2 linked regions of the Arabidopsis thaliana genome follow. The protein of the gene in region 1 interacts with the protein of each later gene in a pairwise test. Each region holds a gene or a part of one and is shown on either strand. Other genes may lie near its edges.

What was found.
Region 2: the proteins of GLK2 (region 1) and GBF1 interact in a two-hybrid assay, tested with the Arabidopsis thaliana proteins (one study listed by BioGRID).

The regions. Positions count from the first base shown.
Region 1 is NC_003076.8:17,796,359-17,801,438, forward strand, and holds GLK2 (GOLDEN2-like 2), read left to right. Parts: upstream 1-1,922; 5' UTR 1,923-2,076; coding exon 2,077-2,523; intron 2,524-2,904; coding exon 2,905-3,045; intron 3,046-3,244; coding exon 3,245-3,580; intron 3,581-3,933; coding exon 3,934-4,023; coding exon of another isoform or gene 4,024-4,068; exon of another isoform or gene 4,069-4,142; coding exon 4,143-4,289; 3' UTR 4,290-4,568; downstream 4,569-5,080.
Region 2 is NC_003075.7:17,309,063-17,314,451, reverse strand, and holds GBF1 (G-box binding factor 1), read left to right. Parts: upstream 1-1,963; 5' UTR 1,964-2,245; exon of another isoform or gene 2,246-2,661; 5' UTR 2,662-2,699; coding exon 2,700-2,759; intron 2,760-2,848; coding exon 2,849-2,893; intron 2,894-3,004; coding exon 3,005-3,094; intron 3,095-3,201; coding exon 3,202-3,291; intron 3,292-3,410; coding exon 3,411-3,550; intron 3,551-3,636; coding exon 3,637-3,694; intron 3,695-3,772; coding exon 3,773-3,821; intron 3,822-3,907; coding exon 3,908-4,029; intron 4,030-4,117; coding exon 4,118-4,195; intron 4,196-4,279; coding exon 4,280-4,405; intron 4,406-4,512; coding exon 4,513-4,602; 3' UTR 4,603-4,783; downstream 4,784-5,389. Other genes in the region: HVA22K (HVA22-like protein K), read right to left, coding at 4,784-4,881, 4,982-5,054, 5,136-5,231, 5,337-5,389. UniProt on the Arabidopsis thaliana protein: Binds to the G-box motif (5'-CCACGTGG-3') of the rbcS-1A gene promoter. G-box and G-box-like motifs are cis-acting elements defined in promoters of certain plant genes which are regulated by such diverse stimuli as light-induction or hormone control.

The DNA.
Region 1 (5,080 bases):
TTGATTCAAATACATCCACCATATAACCCAATTCCAAAATAAAACACGTTCTGTAATTTCTTTACCCGTCCCATGATTATTTTTTTAAGTAGTAATTTTTAAAATTTTAGAATTATTTTTATATATAAAAGTTTTGCAAATTGTATCATTCTCTAATACATTTATATTTTATAGTTTAAATTAAATTAATTAAAATTTAGATATCAAATCTTATAAGTTGATTTTGATTGGCTATTATTTTTAAAAATTAATAATGTATTTCGTTTTTAATTAATTAAATTAATTAAATTAGTATTTGACTTTTTAATCCTTAAAGAGATAAATTAATTTACTCTTTAAAATTTTATTTCTAATGGCATACCTATGTAATTACTTACAAAAATTAAGGTTACATTTAAAATGTACTTCCCAAATAATATAGTAGGATAAATTGTTTTATCTATGATTTATGAATATCCACATCAGTTCTGTAAAAAATAAAACTAAAAGAAAAACCAAGGAGAAAACAAATCGCCTTGTAAAAAACCGTTTTTGATAAATGTAACATTTAGGTTTTGTGTTAGTTAAGATCCGAAACAAGACAAATCTTATACACGCCATAATCCAGTATGTCGAAATCTACACCGTATTAATTATTGCTACTATGAACAACCATTCTATCCGATCATAGACTTTACTCTTATTTGTCGTTATTATCATAAAATGTCGTTTAAATAAATTATTTGTAGGATACCAATTCTTTAATTATATTAGTTCAAACACGTATAATTTTGGTGGTTTTTGAGGATGAATATCATCAAAGATAAATGCATTTTGGTGAAATAAATAATCAAATAATTATTTTAAATTATCTTTATGCACCACTATTTTTAATAAATTGGACTCTTACAACGTTTTCCTTAAAAAAAATCATGGATCTTAAAACTTATACCCAAACAAATATGTAGAAAATTATTATTATATATATAAATATATATATATATATATAAGCTATACAAAATCTTATTATATAGTAGTAGCGCTTGATTCTAAAATAGCATAATTAGACGAAAAAGCATGCATTTTGTAACATTTTATACTTTGTAAGTAAAACACATAAAAAATAATTTTATGAATAAGAAATCCACATAAAAAAAAAAAGAAGTAACATACTGTGAAAAATTAGGAAACTTTTTGAGGCACCAATTTTTTATGCCACTTTCAAAAAAGCATTAATGAAAATTTGTTTAAAATATCATTTTAAAATTTGACGTACAAAAGTACAAAACCTCATACAATTTCAAAACTTTACAAAGACTCAATAACATGTGTTATAGAGACTTTATAAACTTTCTTATAACATACTCTATAATTTTTTATATCCATATATTTGTGATATTTTTGAAAATGGATAAAATAAATTTGATATTTTTATAAATAGAAAATATTAATGGTATTTTTGAATTTTTCCCAAAATAATTATTAGTCTTATACTCCAAAATGTAAAAAAAAATCACTTTTTATTAAAAAAATACTTACGCATTTGCTTAATTGCTAGTCGTCAAAGTTTTGTCATTTTATGCAAATACTAAAAAAATGTAGAAAGCATTTCCTCTTTATTTTTGGGACAACCAAGAAAGGAGCATTTCAATAGTGTATACATAGACAAAAATATTTCTCATTTCCTATATTTGACTCTTTAAATCTTTAATAGCTCTTGTAATTTTTTCCATTCATTGTAATACAGCCATAATGTTTAAAAGGAAACTGTCAATTATAAACTTATACTAGAATATAAAATATGGTATTGAATTGAATATTTTCAAAAATAAAATATTAAATTTACGAAAAGAATAAAAAAACTTAAAAATCTCTCTCTCCTATCTCTCAACCACAACTTATTTTTCATGTCAGTATCCACCAACACATATATACGGCATATAAAAGATTTTAATAAAACCTTGGAACTATCTATATCTATTCAGACACACACGTCTATATATATATATACACTCATATACTACTTTCACTGTATCATTCTTGTTTTCTCTAAATTTTTCAAAAAACCTTTAGAATTTTCATTTTTTTACGATTCCGATGTTAACTGTTTCTCCGGCTCCAGTACTCATCGGAAACAACTCAAAGGATACTTACATGGCGGCAGATTTCGCAGATTTTACGACGGAAGACTTGCCGGACTTTACGACGGTCGGGGATTTTTCCGATGATCTTCTTGATGGAATCGATTACTACGACGATCTTTTCATTGGTTTCGATGGAGACGATGTTTTGCCGGATTTGGAGATAGATTCGGAGATTCTTGGGGAATATTCCGGTAGCGGAAGAGATGAGGAACAAGAAATGGAGGGTAACACTTCGACGGCATCGGAGACATCGGAGAGAGACGTTGGTGTGTGTAAGCAAGAGGGTGGTGGTGGTGGTGACGGTGGTTTTAGGGACAAAACGGTGCGTCGAGGCAAACGTAAAGGGAAGAAAAGTAAAGATTGTTTATCCGATGAGAACGATATTAAGAAAAAACCTAAGGTGTGTTTATTTCCCAATTATCCATGTTAGATTAGTTTATTTTTTTTCTTCTTTAAAGGTAAAAAATCCCATTAAGAAATCACCAACCTTTTTAAGGATTTCATTAAAAAAACATAAACTTCTAGTGTTTCTGAATATTTTTTTTACAAAGTTAGTGAATTAGTGTATTTATCATATACACAATTATTATTAAGTTTGATAACTGGAGTAGATCTAGGACCAAAACCAAGTTTTGTGTAGTAGGACTATACAAATTTGTGTGTTTATTTGGACTAAATATTTTTTTTTATAAAACTGTAAGACAATTTTCTATAAAAAAAATGAATTCCTTTTTTTTCTTTTCATTTATTGATTAATTAATATATTGTTCCGGCAAATCAGGTGGATTGGACGCCGGAGTTACACCGGAAATTTGTACAAGCGGTGGAGCAATTAGGGGTAGACAAGGCGGTGCCGTCTCGAATCTTGGAAATTATGAACGTTAAATCTCTCACTCGTCACAACGTTGCTAGCCATCTTCAGGTAAATTTTAGACTAAAACTATACAAACTAATTTTAACAGGAATTAATCAAGTGCTATAACCCCTAACATAGTAATTACCTAATTTATAGATTACATGTTTTTCCTTCAAAATTTTTTATGAAAAGACAAGTAAAATACTAACCAACTCAGATTTGTGTAATAAGATTAATTTGTGTTGTGTTCTTCTTGTAATGATAGAAATATAGGTCACATCGGAAACATCTACTAGCGCGTGAAGCAGAAGCTGCCAGCTGGAATCTCCGGAGACATGCCACGGTGGCAGTGCCCGGAGTAGGAGGAGGAGGGAAGAAGCCGTGGACAGCTCCTGCCTTAGGCTATCCTCCACACGTGGCACCAATGCATCATGGTCACTTCAGGCCTTTGCACGTATGGGGTCATCCTACGTGGCCAAAACACAAGCCTAATACTCCGGCGTCTGCTCATCGGACGTATCCAATGCCGGCCATTGCGGCGGCTCCGGCATCTTGGCCAGGTCATCCACCGTACTGGCATCAGCAACCACTCTATCCACAGGTAATAATAATTCATTTGTAAAAATGTTACATGTTTTTCCATTATTAGTTGTATGGTTAAATCATGAAAAATAATCGAAATGACATAACTAAATCAGCTTTGTTGAACAATCATGACACTGCAAAAAGCTAGTCTTTGTACACTATTGGCTTTTTAACACATGCAACATATATAAGTATAAAACGGAATCATTGAATTAGATTGTGGTTTTGTCTAACAACGCAATTAGTAAAAGATTGCAAGATCATGAATCATTTTTATGTAGACAACTAATAAAGATTTAGAGCTATGAATTATGTATGGATTTTACAAAAACATATTTCTAATCATGGTTTATGTGTATATATGTGTAGGGATATGGTATGGCATCATCGAATCATTCAAGCATCGGTGTTCCCACAAGACAATTAGGACCCACTAATCCTCCCATCGACATTCATCCCGTGAGTGCACCTTTTTTGGTTTCAATTTTGTTTATTAGATTTTGATTATGACATAACCCAAAAAAGTTTTCGAATAAATTTTGGATAATTAACAATATTTCATTACTTGACGGTTGCAGTCGAATGAGAGCATAGATGCAGCTATTGGGGACGTTATATCAAAGCCGTGGCTGCCGCTTCCTTTGGGACTGAAACCGCCGTCGGTTGACGGTGTTATGACGGAGTTACAACGTCAAGGAGTTTCTAATGTTCCTCCTCTTCCTTGAGAAAGATCTCCAAAATTTGTCGAAATCTCAAACTTTTAACTTCATTTTTTTGGTATCTTCTATGTATTTTTGCAAGGGAAAGACGATAAATCCTTGTTGCTTGATCATATGTATTTCTCTATATGAGTGCATGTATCGAAGTTAAGCAACTTTAATATATCGTTATAATCTTCGATAGCAGAATCTGTAATTTTTATTAACTTTCAACTCCCGAAGCATCATTGCAAAATGACTAAATGCAACACTTTTTGGGGTTAAAAATGCTTAACATTTTAAAACATTACTATCATTTATTCAATCAACAATTTATAGTTTTATACAATTGAAAACTAGACGGGATATATATCGCATGTGTTTTTTCAATGGCTTATTTTGTTTTATAATGCCAACTTTCACAGCTATGGATTGTGACTATTTATAATTTCAAAGAAGTCAAATATTTTTAAAACTCAATTAAAGTCCATAAAAAAATTTGCAATTGATAATGTTAACATATCGTGGCAAAAAAAAAAAAAAAGTACAACACATAATTGGAGTTTAGATATACGAATATTCTTTTAATTGGTTCCATGTAAAAAACTTAATTCAAACGGATTCGATTGGTGACACAAAATGGTAAAAACAAAAAAGCGGAAAAAGTTTTAAAAATACTAGAATAGTTGAAAGAAGTAAAAAAAATACAGGTACAAAAAATACAATAGTACAAAAAAATACTAGAATAGTTGTAGATATACTTTTGTGTTTAGTAAACTATTAAAGCATTAAATATTGTACCATGCGATAGAGATTAC
Region 2 (5,389 bases), on another chromosome or scaffold:
GCTACTTTGTTGAATTAAATTTCTAAGAAAAATATATATGAATTCGTTAGGATTTAATTATAATAAGTAAACTGTAATTTGGTTTCACTAACGAAAAAAAAAGTGCGGCCATAAAAGCAGTATCGGCTGCAAGATTCGAAAAACCTTTACTTTTAAAATTGTAGAAGACAAAGGACTAGATGACATGCACATGAAGATAAGATGAGCAAATTTGTTAAAACTTTTTATCTCCATGGATAAGAGTTTGCCCGATTTATACAAAAGAGAAGTTCGGATAAAATATAACTAATTCTGGTAAAACATTTTGAGTCAACTTTTATAGATCGGTTGACAACTAATGTGTAAGCTTATATTATGGTTTATACATAATATATTCATCACGTAATCATTATTACTTATTAGTGATCTGATCGCATAATATAAAATGAGAGTATTAGTCATCAAAAGTTACCACGTATCATGCGTTTCTCAAAATGTTAGAAAAAACACATCGTTTTCTAATCAACGGAAAAATCAAAGTGTCTTTGGACAAGATCAGATGTTCTTTTGATTAAAACCTCTTCCAGTAATTGTAAACTGTACAAGTGCATTTTCTGAAAATCAAAGTTTTCTTGGACATGACTAGAGATTCTTTGATTAGAGTCTTCTGGATTTTGATTGACGTTAAGATATTTTTGATTTAGACATATACTAAATCCTAATTAATTAAAATTATAGATCGAAAACATTATGGTCTCGTAAAGTTTAGAAACTATGGACCCACGAAGAAGTGTTTGGCGAATAAGCGAAGGATTTAATTTAGTTTTGGGTATATAGAAAACGAAGTGTAAAGAAAACGTAACGTTATGGCTCTTTCTAAATTGGGTTTGTTTTAAGTACTCGTAACCACTTTCAACACATTCACTGTATATAGTGTGTTGTATTATATTGTTTGAGTCGTCATATGATGAGATTGTATATATATAAAGAAAAGTCTTGGACCTTTTGATATGGTGATCCATCACATCAACTACGTAATGGTAATACTAATGCTCTACGATAGATGCTATATTTACCTAAGAAAACCGATTTTTTAAGAATGCACTGAATTTTGCTATCAATCAGTTAACTATTGATAAGTCATATTTAGATTTTTATTTTGTTTCATTTGTAAACAGAAAATCACAAGACGTTGGAGACATCTTGGCTTGCTCCTGGCACCTATAAAAAAATGTATGTTTGCAATAATATTAGGGACTTATTAAAGTAGGCCCAATGGGCTTAAGATTCCACCAAATTAGCTTGACAAACACTAAGGGCCTGTCTCGGATATTAGTTGTTTTTAATTAGCAATTGAATAAACTGATGCACGTTGACTCTCTTTTTTTCGTCGTCATGTTTGATTTTTTTTTTTTTTTGTCGTCATGTTTGATTAGTTCTTAAATCTTAACGATAAGTTAAATTATCGATTTAATATCAACAACTGTAGCAAATTTTAATATTCTACGTTAAAAAACTTACTACTATTTTTTTTTTTTTTTTCAGTAAAATGACACAAACATGCAAACCTAGAAAATAGCTTTGACTTGGTTAGTTTCTTGTTAAAGAAAAAGATTACAAACAATTAACATAATATATTATGCACTACAACGGGAAACAAAATTAAGAAAAAAGACTCTTTATCTACAAAAAAAAATCATATAAATGTAAAAAGGGTTTTATCATTGACAATTTGACAGTTATCAATTTACATCAAAATATATTTTAAATGTTTTTAATATTCATGTACTTAATTAGATCGCTAATAATGATAATAAATTGAATATCCTTTTTGATTGTAATAAATGAGTAGATGAGTCACACCAACTGTAGCTACCGTGTCAAAACCTTATCCAGTAACACGTGTACAGCTGGACCTCTCATTGTCGCACGTGTCAGATCATCAAACCCTAAAATTAAAATCCCAAAGAAAAAAAAAACTTTCCTCTTTCTTCGCATTCTTCTCCTCCTATCGGACTTTGCCACACCAGATCGGAAAATCCCAATCCTCTTTTCCTTTGTTTTTTTTGCTATCTTCAATCAAAAACTCTCCGACAGATTCAATGAAGCAGCAAAAGAGATAAAACCCTAACAAAAGTAAACAATCGGAGTTTTAATCTTCTTCTTCTTCGGAGCCGGAGTTTTGTCTGATCTGTCGGAGAGGACGTGTCGGCATCTATTAAAATCCTAGCTGGACTTCCACATCACTTTACTCAATTAGAAGCTGGTCTGTTTTCTCTGTTTTTATTCTAACTTTTTCTCTCGTTTAATTTCTCATATGCAAACAAACACCTTTGCATGTAACTGATTCTGTTGTACTTGAATTGAATTCTTTAATCAATTATGCAAACAGAGCTTGTTTTGGAGATGATGATTCACAAGTATGAGATTGTCTTTCTGCTTAAGAATTCGTTGAGTGTTGGTTTCTGAAGTTTGAATTGTGTGTGTGTGTGTGATTTAAAATACTGATGCATGGTTCGAAGCTTAGAGATTTTAGATTGCTATAAATGAAAGCAAAAGAACAGTGCCCTTACTCTTGTTCTGTTTTAAAGTCATTGATTGTTATAATTGAAAGCAAAAGATTTTAGTTTTGATGTTTTATGATTACTATTTATCGTTAAGATTTTTGATTTTTGTTTATAGTTTTGAGTAACACAAGTAAGTAGTAAGCTTATAAAACAATGGGAACGAGCGAAGACAAGATGCCATTTAAGACTACCAAACCAACATCTTCGGCTCAGGTTAATCCTTCTCTTCTCCTTTCTTTTCAACATCTTTGTTCTGTTTTATATTTTAAGGTGTTTGATGTATCTACCTCTCTCTTTTTCAGGAAGTTCCTCCCACACCGTATCCAGATTGGCAAAATTCAATGCAGGTTCGTGTTACATGTACAACTTTGGTCACTATTAGTTTTTATAGTGTAAGTGAATACTTTCTCGAAAACACCGGGACTGCTGAACATAATAGTATATGCTTATTTCTTTAGGCTTATTATGGCGGAGGAGGTACTCCAAATCCTTTTTTCCCATCCCCAGTTGGATCTCCTAGTCCTCACCCCTATATGTGGGGTGCTCAAGTAAGTTTTGTATCGTATAGTTGTTGATATGATTCTATGAAAAAGAAGTTTGCATCTTATTCTTTGGATAACACTAAATGAGTTTCTCTGTTTTGCATTACTTTCAGCACCATATGATGCCGCCTTATGGCACCCCAGTTCCGTACCCAGCAATGTATCCCCCGGGGGCAGTCTATGCTCATCCTAGCATGCCCATGGTAATCTCCATACCATTAATACAACATTAGCTATCGTTGAAAGCTTTTTGCTCTGTTACATGGCAATGCATAGATAAATGAGAAAGTAAAAAACTTGCTCGACATTTCTTTTGTTGTAGCCTCCTAATTCTGGTCCTACCAACAAGGAGCCTGCGAAGGACCAAGCTTCTGGCAAGAAGTCAAAGGGGAACTCGAAAAAAAAGGCTGAAGGAGGTGATAAAGCGCTCTCTGGTTCAGGGAACGATGGTGCCTCTCATAGGTGATTTTTATAACACTCTACTCAACGTGGTGCTTGTTCAGTTTGATTGCAGTGTCATATGTAATTATGATTTTTCCGTTGTGCAGTGATGAAAGTGTCACAGCGGGTTCATCTGATGAAAATGATGAGAATGCCAATCAACAGGTACTGTTATGTGTTTGAAGTGTTCTCTGTTGCTACAATACTTTGTGATGTGCTTCATTGAGATTCATGTTAATGTAGGAACAGGGTTCAATTCGAAAGCCAAGCTTTGGACAGATGCTTGCTGACGGTATGCTTTTGACCGCTGCAGTTTTCATGGTTTTTCTTTGCATGTATTTTCCATGTTTCTTGACTTGGTAAAGTTTCCTTGAACAGCAAGTTCTCAAAGTACGACTGGTGAAATCCAAGGTTCGGTGCCCATGAAGCCGGTAGCCCCGGGGACTAATCTGAATATCGGGATGGACTTATGGTCTTCCCAAGCTGGTGTACCAGTGAAGGTGTGACCAACTCCTCATTTCACCCTGCAAGGTTGCTTTTCCGAATTCGTTACATTCTTCCTTACAAAATCCTCTGATTACTCAACAGGATGAACGAGAGCTCAAGCGGCAGAAGAGGAAACAATCTAACCGTGAATCCGCTAGGCGGTCTAGATTGCGGAAGCAGGTAATATGCATTTGTGTGTTAGTATCATTTTACTCTGTCTGCTTCTTGTAATTTACTCATTCCATAATAAACCATTTCGAATAGGCCGAATGCGAACAACTTCAACAAAGAGTAGAGAGTTTGTCGAACGAGAATCAAAGCCTGAGAGATGAGCTACAGAGACTCTCAAGCGAATGTGATAAGCTCAAGTCTGAGAACAACTCAATCCAGGTGACAAACTCTTTATCCGGAAAAATTTCTGCGAAAATCATACTCTTTCCAACTTTTATCTTATTTCTATCGGCTTGCATTTACACTAGAGTCATGGAATAATGCAGGATGAGTTGCAGAGAGTACTTGGAGCAGAGGCTGTAGCTAATCTAGAACAGAATGCTGCTGGGTCGAAAGATGGTGAAGGAACAAATTAACACTTAGGAAAATTGGAACTTTACAACGGATTATTGGGATTTTTCAACACCGGATAAAAAAAACTGAGTCCAAAGTCATTTGAGATTACGTAACTATACAATCGTTTGACATTTTTGTGTAATAGAGATTTGACCTACAAGACTGTAGAAGCTGCAAAAGCTACGATTACACTTTGTTTTATTAGTCTTCGTGATTGGAATCGGATTCTGAATCCGAGTTTGTTTCTGAAACGGGGCTACCATTTGCTATTTCTCCTAGTCGTGGTGCATCCTCGTTGACTGTTGGAACAACACAGCAAGTACAAATAAAATAGTCAGTTCAATACCCTGATAGCAAAGTATTACACTAAAGATAGAAAATTAGAGTTCCGAAACAAACCTGATCCCAAGATTTTGGCAATCATTGCTCGGACAAACCGTATTTCTCCTTGGTGTGACCTAACGACCTTCACCTGCAGTTTTTTGTTTTGTTTTAAAGCGTTAGTTAAAAGTGACTGAAGAATAAGGGAGTTCAAAAGAAAGCAATCGTGTACCATTTCCCCATATACACCATCCACAAGTTGGTCCACTCTAGCTTGGTGTCGTAAGAGGAAAGGACGGATCTGGTTGTTGTATATCTGTTTTGATCCCTGTTGTCGGCAAATAAGAATATAGAGAATATCAGAACTGATGAGTACCACGGGTTAAAGCTGCCTACTCGTTAGATGATGGTTTAAAGAGATTCCGATAGGTACCTCAACAGTTGGGAGTTGAAGCCAGACGAGGAACGCAAACTTCACATGATAGT